Linked DNA regions of Neurospora crassa OR74A. The main gene of each other region encodes a partner of the protein of the gene in region 2 in a complex. Links are inferred from orthologs where the notes say so. Each region holds a gene or a part of one and is shown on either strand. Other genes may lie near its edges.

Evidence for each region. The genes of interacting proteins can lie anywhere in the genome.
Region 1: NCU02757 (region 2) and NCU04336 share a complex: the UniProt entries of both Schizosaccharomyces pombe proteins name them as parts of the mitochondrial large ribosomal subunit. The link is inferred for Neurospora crassa OR74A from reciprocal best matches to the Schizosaccharomyces pombe genes rml2 and mrpl19.

The regions. Positions count from the first base shown.
Region 1 is NC_026504.1:3,733,346-3,736,448, forward strand, and holds NCU04336 (mitochondrial 54S ribosomal protein YmL19), read left to right. Parts: upstream 1-1,347; 5' UTR 1,348-1,516; coding exon 1,517-1,657; intron 1,658-1,725; coding exon 1,726-2,061; 3' UTR 2,062-2,596; downstream 2,597-3,103. Other genes in the region: NCU04337 (survival factor 1), read right to left, coding at 1-61, 126-148. UniProt on the Schizosaccharomyces pombe protein: Component of the mitochondrial ribosome (mitoribosome), a dedicated translation machinery responsible for the synthesis of mitochondrial genome-encoded proteins, including at least some of the essential transmembrane subunits of the mitochondrial respiratory chain.
Region 2 is NC_026501.1:3,455,412-3,459,147, reverse strand, and holds NCU02757 (mitochondrial 54S ribosomal protein RML2), read left to right. Parts: upstream 1-1,200; 5' UTR 1,201-1,584; coding exon 1,585-2,557; intron 2,558-2,619; coding exon 2,620-2,693; intron 2,694-2,757; coding exon 2,758-2,862; 3' UTR 2,863-3,231; downstream 3,232-3,736. UniProt on the Schizosaccharomyces pombe protein: Component of the mitochondrial ribosome (mitoribosome), a dedicated translation machinery responsible for the synthesis of mitochondrial genome-encoded proteins, including at least some of the essential transmembrane subunits of the mitochondrial respiratory chain.

The sequences.
Region 1 (3,103 bases), on a different chromosome or scaffold from region 2:
GACAGACCTGATAGCCTCGGGGCCGTAGATAGGCTCCTTGGTGCCGGCGACATTGGCCAACCTACAAGCGAGTCGTTAGAGGTCTGCGTCCAGCGGATGGTGGGGGTGGTGCTTGGAGTACTCACGCCGCTTGCGCCCACTTGAACATGATGAAAGACTGGGGGGGGGGGGTATAGGGCGAAATGGGAAGAGTATAGATTACAGAAGCAAAAAGTCAAGACAACGAGGCGAAAATGAGTCTAGTTGTGAGAATTTTCCAGGTAGTTTGATGTTCAAGATTAAAGTCATTCACCGCCGTCGAGAAAGATGGGGCAGAGCTGAGATGGCGCCGCGCTCAGATAAAAGCCAATGGAAAACAGAAGGGGCAACCCAGTCTGTCCCAAATCTCCTACAAGTACGTACCTTTGGGCTTCCCCGCGGCCGACTGCCTCTAGCCGTGGCCCTCGATGCGTGGCAGTCGAGCAGCAAAGAAGACTCACTGGCTCTTGAAGGTGCACGTCACTGTTCCGCCCAACTCTCCACATCACCTGAGGACTTGACGATCGATTGGACCCTTTCAGGTTCCTACAGCGGGTCTGCAATCACTTGGAGCGTTCAGGTTTCGCAATGCTGTGTTCCCTTGCAGACTTGCAGCAGCTCGAACGCACCTTTGCGGCAGGGCAGGCGGCAGGCAATGACGGGAATGATCAATCCAAGTCACGCCCGGTACCCGTACTACGCCCCCACTTTTTTGGGACTCGCAAATTCGCACCCACCTAAGTGGGTGCTTACGAATAACACGGCCACACCACTAAAACGGCCACCAGGGTTAGAGGTGCGAATCAGATAAACGATACCAAAATAGTGAACGCCCACAACGTATTTCAACAACTAATTGAGAATAAAGAAAGAGTTAGAAGATAGTCAGGACAGAGTAATGTATCCGTTCAGCTTTTCATTTTTCAGAAATTTCTATATGTTGGGAAGTTGTGCTTTACCCTACGAATCGAGCCTCAAAACTGCACCTCTAACCCTGACCTGGCCGTTTTACTGGTGTGGCCGTAGTACCCGTGAGCACCCACTTTAGGGGGTGCGAGTTCTACGAGGTCCAAAAAAGTGGGGGCGTAGTACGGGTAGGAGAGCAATTGGGGACGAGCGAGGCCGGGACTTTCAGTTGACGGGCGGGCTCGGCGTCGATGCTGTACTAGTACTACTGTAAGCCACTAACGGCACTGAAAAGCGGCGATAAGGGACTGATTGCGGCACTTTACACTAAATAGTGTGTGGCTGAGGCTTTGAAGAAGTGGCTGACGTGACCCTGGCTGCAACGGTTGCCGGCCCGGCGCCCTGATTTTTTTTTGGGCCCAGCTTGAGGTGCCGCGCGCGGCGTCGCCGCCGCCGTTGCTGCCGCCGTCGCGAACGAGGATACCCGACCGACCTCGAAAGTGTAACACGCGACTGCAGACGCGCCGAATTACCGTTCCGTTCTCCTCCCAACTTAATTTCCCTCGAGGGTATCTGCAGTAGAGTCGCCAGAATGTCCAAGGCCGCAAAAGGTGGTGCTGGTGGTGTTGAGCAGGTGGTGAAGCTCATTGTCGGCGCCGGTCAGGCCAGCCCGAGTCCCCCGGTCGGTCCGGCCCTTGGTTCCAAGGGCATCAAGTCCATGGACTTTTGCAAGGTCGGTTTGCATGCGCCCACCCATATAATATCCACAACACAAGCTGACATGCGCTCAAATCTGTATAGGAGTTCAACGCCAGAACCGCCCATATCAACACCGGTACCCCTATGCCCGTCCGTGTTACCGTCAGGCCCGACCGCTCGTTCCACTTCGATGTCCGCACCCCTCACACATCATGGCTTCTGCTCAACGCCGCCGAGGCCCCGATAGGCAAGGGCGGCAAGAGAAAGGGCGCCAGCAACCCCGGCAAGGAGGTTGTCGGCACCGTCAGCCTCAAACATGTCTACGAGATTGCCAAGATCAAGCAGTCCGAGCTCCGTCTATCCGGCCTGCCCCTCGAGGGCCTCTGCAGGGCGGTCATCTACCAGGCCAGGTCGATCGGTATCAACGTTATCCCCTGAAAGAGGCTATACGCTGAAAGACATTATACGGGCTTGGGGGCACGAAGGCGTTACGGTTGTTTCTTTTAGGTGGATAGACCACGGCATTGTTACCAATATTGGATGCGGACTATAGCCATAGCTTGTGGCTCTGTGTATCTTTGCTTGTATCATTATTGTATGGCAAAATCTCAAAATGCACAGCGGTGCCTGGAGCTGTTGGTTGGTCCACGGAGTATGATCGTTTGGGAAAGGCTTCCACAAAAGGGTGCTGATGGCAGGCATGGCATATATGGGCATTTGCCGGTTTGCGTTTGCATTGCCTCAACGTACTCCAGCTTCGTCAACCTTGGCTCACATAGCTTGTGTTTGTGGAACACGCAGGCGTATGACGAGGATCTGTCTCTGTAGGATTAAGTTTTAAGGTTGGCGGTCACCAAGGTAGACCGCCCAACGGGTATTATGCTTACCTGAATGTAGGTGAGATGTGTTTATAATGCTTTTGGCTAAGCTGACTGCAAGACAAATCACACACATATATAAAAAGGGGTTTTGTAAACAAACATCCGCTTCGCCCAAGTGCTTATCCACCAGCCCACTTCTTACCACTCAGGCGAAGCCCCGGTATCATGTCGCCATGGTGTTCATCTCATGCTTTCAATACTAACGAGATGAAATGGATGATTGTTTAATATCCTACACGTGTGCAACGATTGCAATTACATTCAATGGCTTCTAGAACCATTCGGGCAATTACCTCCCGCAGCATGGCGGGGTATCGACATGGGTTACACCGAACCGAGCGATAAGGACCTGGTTTTCGGCGGTAGAGATCGACATAGAAAGCTGTTTACCATATCCGTTGGCAGTCCATCGAAAAAAAAGGTTGGGTGACATCAGGACAGTCACTGGAGACAAAGCTGACCACCAACACCACCTAGACTTGTCATCCATGCCTTTGCGGTGCCTCGGTCTTTCGGACACGGCGGCGCTCTAAAAGGCCGCTTTGACGGTGGTCGGGGCTGCTGCGGGATTCATACTTGACTCTCTGTTGTTCAGTTGA
Region 2 (3,736 bases):
GTGAACACGGACAGTCAATGAGACTAGACGCACCGACTACAGAGCCCAAAGATGTCGGGAAGAATGAACACCGGCGGTCGGCAGTGATGTCGCTGTCGGCACGTTGTTGAAGCCGGAGATCAACCCTGGGTCCCGCAACAGAAGGTTGGCTGAGACCGTGAAGGATGTGCTGTTGTTGATCGGGAATGTTGCCCAATTGGTGACGACGGTCGGGGCAAAGCACGCAATGGCGACGTCCGGAAAGATTGACTGATCGAGGCCAAGGGTTGCCGTCGTGATGGCAAGGCCTTGCGAGTCCAGGTGATGCGGAGTGGGAATGCTAGTTGGCGGACGGGAAAGGGAGGTATGATGTTTACGAGGCAGAGAAGAATGGGAGTCTTGTTTTTGCGAGGTCTTGGTGGAGGTGCCAGTGCCAGTGCAGCCCAGTGGATGGGGCTGGAGTGCCAGTGGACGGAGCGGGCGTGTGGACACCCACCCAGGTACCGGATCGGACGTGCTGGGACTGGGGCAAAGTACCTCTAGTGCCCTTCGAGGTCACTAGTGCAGCGAGGCTTTGAAGCTTTGAAGTCCAAGACACCGGAAAGGGAACAAAATTACCACAACAAGTGATGACGCGCCGTGCAATATGGGCTTCTGTCAGACGCACGTCTTGCTGTTCCCTGCCTTGCTAAGTTGTCGAATGATGAGGATGCCGTTGTCGAATAAGCAAGTCGAAAAGGTTGTACTGCCGAAGAAATGCAGGCTTCAATGGCCGGAGTCGAAAGTTGCTGTTGTTGCTGTAGCTGAAAGTCGATTGTCGTGCGTCCAGGGAAATGGTTGTTAGTCGGATGGTGAGTGTCGAGTTGCAGAATCCGGAGTCGAGAAAGCGGCCAGGAAATTGTACTTGGGCCGGGCGCTGTTATGGAGCACTGCAAGCAGAAGGGACAAAGAAGGGTCGCACCTCAAACACGCAGTGAAGGAACTGAAGGCGGCAAGGCCACCACAGGCCACGTCCCTCCCTTGCTGTCATCCGCCCGCCGTCAGGGCAACACTGGCAACCGCAGGGCAATTCGGTCAAATCAGCTTCTGATTGGTTTAAACTGTCCAACAGGCTGCGCGTGTCCAGCAGCTGTCAACACTAAGGTACCTTACCTATCCTGGGTCAGACGCGACTGGAACCTTGGGCGGGCAGGAATGGAGCACGATGCACGCTCTTTCCCCGCGCCGCACTGCACCTTCACGCGGTGATGACTTGGTGCCTTCCTCCCGCGCCCGCGTTTTGGAGCGCTGTTTGCAGCACTTGTCCCCTGGAAAGAAACAAGGCTCTTCACCAAAGGGCAGTGGCTGCACCACACAAGCCACACTATTAGCAGCCACAATCGTCAGGGATCGCAAACCAATGCACGGCTGTGATTGGCGCATCAGCCGAGCAATTTTCCACAAGCAGTTATCGACGACAAGCCGGCGACGAGAACCTCGACGAGCAGCCTGCGAGGACGTCGCATTCCGGTTGCTGGAAATCGCAGCAACTGTCCCCTCCAGCACCCTCACCTCCCCAGAGCTCACCGCCAGGAGCTTGGGATATCCGACAGCGATCGAGCAGCCATGCTGCAGCCTCAATTCCGACCCCTCCTTGCGGGGACAGCTTCCTTTGCCCAAACCGTGCTGGGCCGCACCGTCGCCAGATGCTATGCCACCAAGGCCGCCACACAATCAGCAAGCAGCACCAGCACCAGCAACACCAGCAAAGATGCCAAAGCCAAGATCGTCACTCCCTACGTCCGGGACGCCGGCATGATGAGAACCTACAAGCCGCACACGCCCGGTATCCGTCACTTGAAGCGCCCGATCAACGACCACCTGTGGAAGGGCCGGCCGTATCTTCCTCTTACCTTTCCCAAGAAGGGTCAATCTAAGGGTGGCCGTAATCACAGTGGTCGCGTCACCGTCAGACATCGCGGTGGTGGTCACAAGCGAAGAATCCGCATGGTCGACTTTGAACGATGGATCCCCGGTCCGCACACAGTCCTGCGCATTGAGTACGATCCCGGTCGCAGCGCGCACATTGCGCTGGTGAAGGAAGAGGCCACAGGGAGGAAGAGCTATATTGTTGCGGCGGATGGTATGAGGGCTGGAGACGTTGTGCAGAGCTACCGGTCCGGTCTTCCCCAGGACCTGCTCGATTCTATGGGTGGTGTCGTTGATCCTGGTATTCTGGCTGCGAGGACATGCTGGAGAGGCAACTGCTTGCCTGTGTCCATGATTCCGGTTGGAACCCAGATCTATTGCGTTGGCTCCCGTCCGGATGGCAAGGCTGTTTTCTGCCGCAGTGCCGGAACATATGCAACCATTATTTCCAAAGAGGAGGAGACCCGTGAGGATGGTACAAAGGTTATGACGGGCAAGTTCGTCAACGTAAGACTGCAGAGCGGAGAAATCAGAAGGGTCAGCAAGGACGCTTGCGCCACCGTTGGTATTGCCAGCAACATTATGCATCACTACAGACAACTGGGCAAGGCCGGTAGAAGCCGTTGGCTCAACATTAGGCCTACTGTGAGAGGTTTGGCGATGAACGCAAGTGAGTAGACTCCCAGAACAATCCGTTTGTCAAGCGAGCAAAACCAACTAACGGCCTGGTAGATGACCATCCTCACGGTGGTGGTCGTGGTAAGTCGAAGGGTAATAGGCACCCTGTTTCTCCTTGGGGTACACCTGTAAGTCATGCCCCTTTATTTCCTTCCTTCCTCTGAACAGACGCCTTACCCTCTTTTTCTGTAGGCCAAAGGTGGTTACAAGACTCGCAGAAAGTCCAACGTCAACAAGTGGGTGGTTACCCCCCGGGTCCGCAACATGGGAGTCCGGAGGAACAAGAAGACTACATGAATAAAATAACCCACTGTGCTCAACTTGGGCTATATACCCACCATCTTGTACAATATGTAGTGAAACTTATTCATTTGCTCGCAGGCCGGCAGTTCGAGGGCTCAGTATATCACCGGAAGGATGCCATGTGTGGGTATTGGGCCCAATAACATCGTCTGTTGGAGATCTGCCGTGTTTGTCTTTGTTTTCCACTTTCAACTGAGCAACTCTACGGCGATGTGGTTCAGGGCCCGGCCAAGGCCGTGACTGTGCCTATAAATCGGCATACGACTTCAGGAATGTACCAAAGACTACACATGGGGTTTGTTAGACTCCGTTGTCATATACCGACCCCAACTTAACAAATTTTTTATTGATTTATTTACTTATAAAATTTGTTTAATTTTCCTAAAAAAATTAAAAAATTTTTTTTTCCCTTTTTTTTTTTTTTTTTTTTTTTTTTTTTTTTTTTTTTTTTTTTTTTTTTGCGTTGATTATAGACAACAGACTACAATGAAAGAAACTGAAGGCGTTTGGTCATTGGAGTCGGTCGAGTTGTCCAATCACATTTTGCGTTCATCTCTTCTGCAAGGAGCAGAATAACAATGCCGTCCCCCTTCGCCCTTTCAGATCTGCTACCGGTTCTGTGAACGCCATCCTGAAAAAAAAAAAAAAATAGGGGCGTAAATAGCCGCGTGGGTAGACCTGAGCGCAGCGAGATTTATATGCATTCCAGCGGTGGTATCTTTACAGTGGTTGACTGTGTAAGGGCATATCACGACAGCGTCTCGGTATGCGCCCGCAATTCGGCCATACATACAACGCCATGAAGGAACGAGGGTCGACAAAAGGCAAGCATAGTCTCATCTCCATAGAGGTATACCACAAGATCAAC